2 linked regions of the Oreochromis niloticus genome follow. The protein of the gene in region 1 purifies or fractionates together with the protein of each later gene. This does not show direct contact. Links are inferred from orthologs where the notes say so. Each region holds a gene or a part of one and is shown on either strand. Other genes may lie near its edges.

Region 1 (4,972 bases):
GACACTGAAAATGCATGCTCCGCTAAGAGAACGAGGCAAAACAAGTCCAGTACGCCCTGATCGCCGCCTGATGACGTGCTGCGTGTGCCTGGTGTACAACAAAGCCCTGGCACAGCAGAAAGTGAAGAGCTCATCCATCAAAGCGGATTATTTTCCTCTGTTTGGAAAGACTTTGGATTCAGGGCAAGCAAGCACAACACAGTTAACTTATTCAAACACTTGAAAACACACCAGGAAAAACAAAGCAGAGGTTGCTAACGTGAATTATCATCGACTCAGGCGTCATTAAAGCACGCCTGTGCAGCGTGTCAGTCAGTCAGGGTCAAAGCAGGGATCTCTTTACAAACAGCTGAGATCTAGTCTCACATACCTTCCAGTCTTTAGGATCAAGTTTTCGGAGCATGGAGTACTCCTCCAGCTGAAACTCCTCATCTGCCGACTCTTCTGAGGACTCCTCCTCTTCCTCCAGCTCCTGGAAGGAAGACGACACATTCCTGTTTCTCCTCCTTATGTAGGCCTCAAACCACCGACCCACAGGCTCCACCTGAACCTGTGCAGAGGCTATAAGGAGGAAGAGACATTTTGGTAAATTAAACATCTTTGTAAAACTAAGTGTTTCAGTACTTTGACTCATTACTCATCACCTAAGATGTTTTCTCACACTAAGAAATCGAACCTGCTCGTACAGTCAGAGGAAACTAAGTCAGCCCTTTGGAACCATCTGCACTTGAAGTTTTGTTTTACACTGAAGAAAAAACTGCAAATAATAGAGTAGAAAATCGAGTGATCTCCAAAACACAGCATGGATTTATGTATCAATTTGTTTTAAACGATTTTAGACTGAAGAGGGAACGACACGTACACAAACTTCAACACTGCAAGAGATTTTTACCAAAGCCTCAGGCGTTAATTAGCATGTCAGGGCTAAAGCATTTGCAAAGGTTTGCACATTTCAAAGCTTTACATCAGAAAGACTCCAAGGTGGAGGGCCCTGGCAGCTATGGCTGTCTTTTATGTACAGTCTATGGTTGACAGCTGGGAAACTAAAAGGCTGTTTGGCAGGAAAGAGCTTCAGAGAGACTAAGCAGACTATGCTCAGAATCAGAAAGGGTTTTATTGCCAAATGTTACAACATTAGGAAATTGCTGCAGTACTTAGTGCGAAACATACTGTAAGACAAACACATAAATAAAAATTAAAAGTGCTGAGCAGATTGGTATATACATGAATGCAGGTGATCAGTGCAAAAATGGAACCGATGCAGAGAACACAGTATAGGGTCATGTGTTTGTGGTGGGAACAGTCCTATGGTTATTGAAGAACTGAAGAACAACATACTTCATTCCACCAAGCACCAAGCTCAGTGCATGTGTCACAACCATCACTGACCCAAACATGGTGGAAAGTCTCACTAAACAACTCAGGATCCTCCAAACAAGAACTCCCACAGCTGAGAGAGGTCCCAAAGGAAGCGGTCCCAAGGACTGACTCTGAACATGTTGCGTCTCTCTTGCTTTGTCATTTTAAAGCTACAAAAATATAAAATGCATTATTATTGGACTGGAACGGGTGTGGAGATAAATCAGCCCTGACATGTGACAGACTGTGCCGCGACACTGTCACAGTTTAACAGCCGTCAGTCAGTAACAGTGCTGCATGTGTCTTCAATTTACTCCTGTCAGAGTCACAGGTGTTCAGCCCTTACGTAACAGCCAGGTAATGACTCCACATGAAAGGCTGTGAAATTCCAAACTAGTCTGTCATTAATAATAAGAAGCCAACTAGCCGGTGAAGCTGGTGAGAAGCTCTGGCGGCTGCGAGTGAACCCGGCGACAAACGCCGTTTGGATAACCCGAGACACAACACGGCTAACTACTAAAAACGCAGAGACTTTACTAAGATTCAAATTAGCCGGTAATGTTAGCCTGCTGTGTGCGCTGTTTAGCTGCATGCTAACAAGCAGGGCAGCAGTCAGTGTGTAAAGGCTGCTTAACTAGCTGCCTTTCTCTGACCTCCTTCAGTGCTTACCGGCAGCTGCTCTGTAGACAACCGTTTCACCCCCATCCGACGCTTCCAGCAGCATTTTCAAAGCAGGTTACGCGAACATTCAGATGCCCAAATAATCAAGTGAGACCTTCAGAAAGTGCTACAGTCTATGGCCCGCTCTCTACCACATGGGCCTCCTTTCGCCACTGCCAATCCGAGAACGAGCTCTGCTGTCACACCGCTAAACCCTCCGGGTGTATCATCGCGCCTCGTCACTTGTAGTTCCGCCGTCTTTGTTTTATCTGTAGCTTAAAACCTGGCCCCGCTAGCTAAACATGTCACACAATTTCTCTAATAATTATGAAGTAAAAATGATACGCACAAGATTTCTGTACCCCCCAACAGACCACCATGATAATAATTTTTTTTTTTTTTTTTTTTTTAAAAACCATGAAGCTGGTACATCCTCAATACAATTCCCGCTTGTGTGTTCCGGTAAGTGGCGCATAGCGGCGGAAGCCTAAAGCTGCTGTGTAATTGTAGAGTTTAGCAGTCCCGATTGTTCGCGACTAAACAGTTTGTTCACACATTAGACATGCCGGACTATTTGGGAGACGACCAAAGGAAGATTAAAGAAGAGGAGAAGGATGACTCCCCTATTAGAGGTATATCTAAAATAGTTTATTTAAAACATGGATACTATTTCCCGAAAAGAAGCGTCGATATCAGCTAGCAACATGGCTAATGTTAGCTTAGCTCGTTGAAAACAGTTGGTGAATGTATTTGCTACCATGTTGTTATAAATATGATCTGTTTACGGTGGAATAAAAAGTCTTGTATATACTGCATCGCTCAGTCCGACGACGGTGACAGAGTGCACGCGCATTCATGTGATTGTGATTCTTTTTTAAAGCTTTGGATGAAGGGGACATCGCTCTGCTCAAAACATATGTAAGTATGGATTTCAAACAAAACCACAGCACCAAGCAAGGGTCAAGGAAATGGAAGTGATTCCACAGTGAGTGAATGTGTTGTTTGCTGTTCACCACCAGGGTCAGAGTACCTATTCCAGACAGATCAAACAAGTGGAAGATGACATACAGCAGCTGCTCAAGAAGATAAATGAGCTGACGGGTGAGCGACGAATCCAGAAGTACATTTGTGCCACAGCAGGGCAGTAAGATGTAGAGTTCTCAGTAAGCTTCTTACTCGACTTGTTGATTGTTTAAAAGCGGTCATAAGCAACAAAACGTAATTTATTGGAAAAGCTCATTTGCCGAATTAACTTTCTAAACCTCCGAAATTTCCAGAAGCCACTTGTGTCTGACCAAATTTCAAGTACTGCGTCAAAATCAGGGGTTTTACTCCGGCTTTCTTAGATTTTCTTTACTTGGAATTCACCATTACAATTTTCAAACGTATTCAGATATTCTCAGTTTCATTTCTAACAACCAACAGTAGTACAGGAAGTATTTGGTAGCTCTATAGAAGTGGTTTACACATTAGCTGACAAGCGAAAGGTCGCTGGTTGATTCCAGCAGGAGATGCAAATCAGAAAAGGCTTCTGGACTAAAAATCCTGAATGAATTTTGTCACATCCAGAAACGATACAAAAGTTACAGACTTGATGATAACTGCAGCTGCATTGTCCTGTGCATGTTAAGTGATTATCTTGCAACATACACAGGACTCAATAGCACTGTTGCACTATACAAATACATTTGGACAAGTTTCATTAAGTGCCAGTTAAACCTCGTGTATTTTCACCCCTCACTTAATTATTTGGTGCTTGCATGGCCTGTTACTTTAGATGCAGCTGTCTAGCTGGCCTTTCCTGGCCACCCAGTACTCTGGGCTAAGGTAACACACAAAGAGAGATCACCTTTTCCACCACAACCCACTGCTATGGGGCCAGTTTAGATTTAAAAAAGACATGTCTAGTTGACTTTAACTCCAAAAAATGGTAAGGGCAGCATTGCTGTTGAAAATGGATCGTCTTAAATTTGGAATGATTGTCCAGCTTTATCAGAGGAGTATATATGGACGGTTTTGGTTCTTTGGAATGCTGCACAAGATGCTTTGTGTCTGATTTGTTTTTTTAATTGCACAGGCATCAAGGAGTCTGACACAGGCCTGGCTCCACCCGCTCTCTGGGATCTAGCTGCTGACAAGCAGACACTGCAGAGCGAGCAGCCGCTGCAGGTAGCAAGGTAAATGTTTAACTTTAACATCACCAAAATGTAAAGTGTGGTGTTATATCGCTGATCTTCCCTGTGGGATGTTTCGAGGAACATTCCTGTCAATCCGACATGAATTTTCTTAGCTTTCCTACTTCCTTCCACAGCATTTCCATTATGTAGCTTCATGATTCTTTATTTTTTTCTGAAAGATGCACAAAGATCATCAATGCAGACTCTGAGGATCCCAAATACATCATCAACGTCAAACAATTTGCCAAGTTTGTGGTGGACCTGAGTGACCAGGTGGCTCCAACTGACATCGAGGAGGGCATGAGAGTGGGGTGAGGCAGAAGCATGATTTAAATGTGTTACATAGTTTCCAGAAGGTTCCGTCAGCTGTAAGCTAAGTTTAGTGTCCTGTCTGTTTTTCCAGGGTTGACAGAAACAAGTATCAGATCCACATTCCTCTGCCTCCGAAAATCGACCCCACTGTCACCATGATGCAGGTTAGGAGGCGAGGAATACTTTGTGATTGTTTGGTTATCTGTCTGCTTGCATGTGATAACTCCTTTGCCCACTTGCTTTAGGTGGAAGAGAAGCCTGATGTGACCTACAGTGATGTTGGTGGATGCAAGGAGCAGATAGAGAAGCTGAGAGAGGTGGTCGAAACTCCGCTGCTCCATGTGAGTGTTCCAAAGTTAGAACCACCACTGAGGCATGAGTGAAGCAACTGTCTTCTGCACATGGAAGCTCACTTGTCGTCTTTTTCTTCTCACCAGCCTGAGAGGTTTGTCAATCTGGGAATC
Region 2 (4,972 bases), on another chromosome or scaffold:
TCAGAAGGTTCGTTTGAAAATCAGAAGAGCATGGTGTTTTTACACTGTCACCACGTCCATATAATAAACTCCACAGGCATGAAAACTGAGAATTAGGTAGACTAGACATTGCTGCCGCTCACGGTGAAAGAATTTTGTCAATACGACCTATACTTTTCGTTTGGGAGTGATTTGTTTCGGCCTGACTTTTCTGTTCATTTTAAGCAGCAAAAGTGAGGTGCATGTCTGTGAGCGTGTGTATGGAGCCATTGGGTGCAGTCACTATAGCAACCAGGCTCACACCTGCCTGCCTAATGAGTTCTGTCTCTCACTGTGCCAAGATTCATCTTAAACACTTCTCTTTCAACTGCTGCTGTGTCCACAGTGTTTGCTCTACAGCCATCATTTTACCCTCAAAACGAAGCCATCGTTCTTCTCTTTCCAACAGCGTGTCTTTCAAAGCTCAGAAATGTAAACCTTTTAAACTGTGTAGATCCAAGTGGAGGGATCACACTTTAGTAATTCAGTGATTTAAAGAATATGAAATTTTAATATTCATTCAGATGTTTTCTGACTTTAAATTTTCTTTTGTCATTTCTTAGGTTTGTCTAATTTCCATTTAAAACATTTTCAACTATTTTCCAACTTCTTCTCTGTGGATGTCAGCTTTTAGCAGTTCAGCACTTTTGTTTTCAGGCGAAAATTTCTGTATTTTTCATCTCATTCAAAATTTTTAACTTAAAATTCAGCAATTAATTCATTTCAGTGCATACATTCAGATTCAAGCATTCACACTGCAGTTTCTTCAGAAAATGCACTTTCTAGTTAAGAATATGTTTATATACAAAGAACTTTATTGATATAGAGCTGAGATCTTTATGAAATTAATTGATTCATTAATGGATGAAGCTACTTCAGTGTGGAGATGTGCTACTTTGTCTTTTTTTTTTTTAATGTGTACATTAAATATCAGCCTAACATTTATTATATGACCAGAAAATATGTAACATGACCTTTAGATTTTGTATTTTGTAATGGAATCTTTTCATTGTCTTCTTCCTTTTATAAAGCTCAGTTTATTATTAAGTATAGAATAAATATCTTAAAGGGATTAAAAATAATCTGAAATCAAAGAAATATAATAAATAATAATTATACATTAAATAAAATATTAAGTAAACATAAGTATATAATATATACCAAATAGCCACTTTGTTGAAGACATCTGTTCAACTGCTTTGCAAATCAGCCAATTACATGGCAGCAGCTACATTGAATGTAGCAGGGAGGTTACATTCAACCAACCATCTCTAGGGTTTACAGAGACTGGTCTGAAAAACAGAAAATATCCAGTAAGTGGCAGTTCTCTGAGTGAAAATACTTTGCTGATGTCAGAGGTCAGATGAGAATGGCTTCAAGCTGATAGGAAGGCAACAGTAACTCAAATAACCACTCATTATAGCCACGCTAGAGCGTCTCTGAACTCACAACATCTGGAACCTTGGGACATATTAGCAACAGCAACAGAAGACCACACTAGGTGCTACACCTGTCAACTAAGAACAAAAAACTACAGCTACAAATGGCGAGGGGCTCTTTAAAATCAAACAACAGAAGATTGGAAAAATGTTTCCTGGTCTGATGAGTTTTCATTTCTGCTGCAACAAAAGCATGAATCCACTGCATCAGTAGTTCAAGTAGTTTGCGGTGATGTGTTGGGGATATTTTCTTGGCCCACTCTGGGTCCTTAGTACTGAGTGAGCATCATTTAAACTTCACAGCCTACCAGAGTATTGTTACTGACCATGTTCATCCCTTTATCCACACAATGTGCCAGGCTTCTGATGGATGACAGTATAATGTCCAAGCACGACACAGACAGGACAGCACTGTCATGTCCAAGAAGGTTCACTGTACTCAAAGTGCTTCTACAGCCCTCAAAGGTCAATTCTTTAGAGCACCTTATGGCTATGGTGGAACTATGTGACGCTATCATGTCAACATAAACCAAACCAATATGAGCCAGGTGTATTTTAGCACCTTATTGAATCTATGCAATGAAGCATTAAGGCAGCTCTGAAGGCAAAGGTGGGTGCAATCTGGTGTACACTCTGGCAAGTGTATTACATCGTAGCAAAATAAACGGCATTTAAAATGCTTACTACATGTATTAAAACCAAATAGAATTATCCGTTGGTGTCACCTTTAAAATCTTTTAGTGACCATTAACATGTACTTTTGCCTTGGGCTCGTAGATAAGTTATCTGAAATACTTTTTTAACTTTTAAAAATGCACCGCACACGTGGTGTGTGGGTAAATGATCAGATATCAGTTTGTGCTTTGATAGCATACATCAGTTTTTCTGCCACACAACATAAAGAGACCATTATCTGCCACACAGTCAAACACGACACGCGTGTCTCCAGCTGTCAGGGAAACCACTGAAAGCAAACAAACTGCCGCTCACATGAAATGTTGTGCCTTGCCGTCCTAATCTGGTACAGATTAACATCTGCTCGTGGGTAACCCTCCGCATCCACCAAGGAGTCTTCAACTCCGACCCCCTGCTGTAAATAAAAGTAAACAAAGACGAATAAAAAAAAAACCTTACTGAGACTTAGCTTTGTGCTACGTTTTGCTAATAATATGGTCGCTGACTTACGTCTTGTAGGACGTCGTAATACGCCTTTATCTGCTCTTCAATTTCATCTTTCTTCTTGATGAGGTTTTTAACATCACCCATTGTTATTTCGGAGTTTCCAGAAATGTTTTCATCCGTCATCTTCATGGCTACTCCAACTAGTGCTTCCGGTATAGCTCCTGTTTCTTCTTCTCTTGGTTTTATTTGGCAGTAAAGCGCTCCGCTGCCCCTCAATGATTTGCTCGTTGTACGAAAACATTTTAGAACTATACTGACGATCTTTAAACTGATATTACTGCCACCAGCACAAATAATAATGAAATTAGTAGTAATTATTGTTGGTCATTGTTATGTTGTCCAAAACAACTACAGCCGAAAGCGCAGATTTAGAATTAAATAACTAATAATTTAAATGACACGTATAGAATTTCTAAAAAAAATACATAAACTGAAACGTTTAAACTTTGGTTTACATTTTTATACTCCAGTGGATAACACGTTCACCACTGGGTTCCATCAGTACAAAGACCAAATAAAAAACTTCCAACATCTCATACACAACAGTGATCAATGATTCTTCCTTTTGTGCATTTCTCAGCTCATATGTTTTTTTTCCCCCTCTACCTGCTTCCATCTGAGAAGCAGAGCCTTAAGCTCTCAAGGGCCTCTTCTGCTGAACCAGCTCGTAGTTTGGATTTGGGAGAGAAACACCCTCTCTATTTTTAAGATTAGGTTTAAAACTTTCCGTTTTAATATAGTTCATTGTTAGGAGTGGATCAGGTGACCTTGACCCCAACCCTTCCTTAGTAACACTACAATAGGCCTTGCCTGCTGGGGGCTTCCCATGATGCATTGAGCATTTCTTCTTTACTCACTGTGACATACGTGACTTTACTTTTAGTTATTATGGTCAGGCTCTCTTCCACTCGACTGAAGATCTAGATTAGGCAATTTTATTCGCCAAAAAATTAGGATAACTTATTGCCTGTATATCCTGAATGACTAGACACCCCCCTTCCAATGATGCAGTAATGCTGGATGAAAATACAGTTATGAAGTTGCATGAGATTATCACTGCTTTGCCCTCACCAAAACTAAACAAAATATTAGTGTGAGGCTTTTTTGAGTACTGGATTTTTCCTGCATACTAAATAAACAAAAGTGTAAAAAAATGTTAGTAGCTTTTAAAAAAAAAACAGTTTATTTTTTATCATATAAGATGCAGACAGTTATTGCTACTAGAATCTCAGCATGAATTTGAAACCCTTCAGTTTTCCATTTATTTGATAAAGTTTTTTTGATCTTTTATTAGTAAAGGAAATTAGTAAAGGAGGAACAGGTTTGGACTCTATCAGTTAGGCATTGGACTGAGTCATTTCAACATCTGACACCTGTCTGACTTTCCAAAGAGCTAAGTTTCTAAAACTTCTCTGTTGGCGATATGGCAAGTAATCATCTGGTTTAGTGAAGGAAAACACCCAAACACATTACATTCAATCATGTGTCACCTTTAATATATTAGATACATACAATCACAGATCTTTAGATTAACCCCTTGGATTTTTTTCAGAAATCTTTCAAGAGCTGTAAACAACGTGCAGCTTCTGTATGCTGAACATTTTTTTGCACCCACGTGCTAAGAACAAATACACAGCTTTCACAAATACACCCCTGACTTTTAGTCAAGAACAGTCCCACCAAGTTGTCCTGTAGCATACTTCTGAATTTCAGAGCAGCATACATAAAGGCACAATGGTATAAAACTATTCAAAATTATCATAGTGAATAAGTACCGTATAGTGTTCGCTCTACATCTGTAAGTGCTGTGTACCCTGAGTGCTTAAATGGTACATATGAGATCTCTTATTGGAAACTGGAATGTGATTTATTGGCTCAATGCTTAAATTGGACAGATGTGCGAATAATTTGGACTAAAGTCATTAAAACCTCTGTGAACACTGTGTTACTGCATGCATAAAGTTTCCTTCAGTAAGTTCTCCTTCATCTTCAGCTGGCTTACAAATGCCCTACTCCTGCATTGGGAGCATGTGCAAATGTGGCACTGGAAAGTTTATTTGTCCTGCAGCCTACAAATGTTAGTGCTGACGATTAAATAAAGTCAAGTGCCAGATTAGCTCTATTAATAGAAATGCCTAACAGCCTGTTTCCCTCAGACCTCCGTCTTGATCCTCAAGCACCAGCACTGACTCCTCCTTATTATCCTGAGTGGACAACAAAACCTCCTTCTGAGCCGTTATCTCCTTCTGAGACAGGACAAATTGGCTTCTGGTCTCGTCCAGCTGTGAATGAACTTCTTGGACCCACTTTTGTAGCTGCACATTGAGAGCATC

Evidence for each region. Proteins that work in one complex are often made in the same cells at the same time.
Region 2: the proteins of psmc2 (region 1) and psmd9 fractionate together in Homo sapiens (co-fractionation; 4 studies listed by BioGRID and IntAct, with this or other methods). This does not show direct contact. The link is inferred for Oreochromis niloticus from reciprocal best matches to the Homo sapiens genes PSMC2 and PSMD9.

Annotation. Positions count from the first base shown.
Region 1 is NC_031981.2:38,762,488-38,767,459, forward strand, and holds the start of psmc2 (26S proteasome regulatory subunit 7), read left to right. Parts: upstream 1-2,470; 5' UTR 2,471-2,581; coding exon 2,582-2,651; intron 2,652-2,899; coding exon 2,900-2,937; intron 2,938-3,038; coding exon 3,039-3,120; intron 3,121-4,096; coding exon 4,097-4,196; intron 4,197-4,375; coding exon 4,376-4,507; intron 4,508-4,599; coding exon 4,600-4,672; intron 4,673-4,753; coding exon 4,754-4,849; intron 4,850-4,945; coding exon 4,946-4,972. Other genes in the region: dnajc2 (dnaJ homolog subfamily C member 2), read right to left, coding at 371-561, 2,029-2,083.
Region 2 is NC_031977.2:19,453,631-19,458,602, reverse strand, and holds the start of psmd9 (26S proteasome non-ATPase regulatory subunit 9), read right to left. Parts: upstream 2,852-4,972; 5' UTR 2,769-2,851; coding exon 2,643-2,768; intron 2,548-2,642; coding exon 2,448-2,547; intron 1-2,447. Other genes in the region: rab5 GDP/GTP exchange factor, read right to left, coding at 4,775-4,972. UniProt on the Homo sapiens protein: Acts as a chaperone during the assembly of the 26S proteasome, specifically of the base subcomplex of the PA700/19S regulatory complex (RC).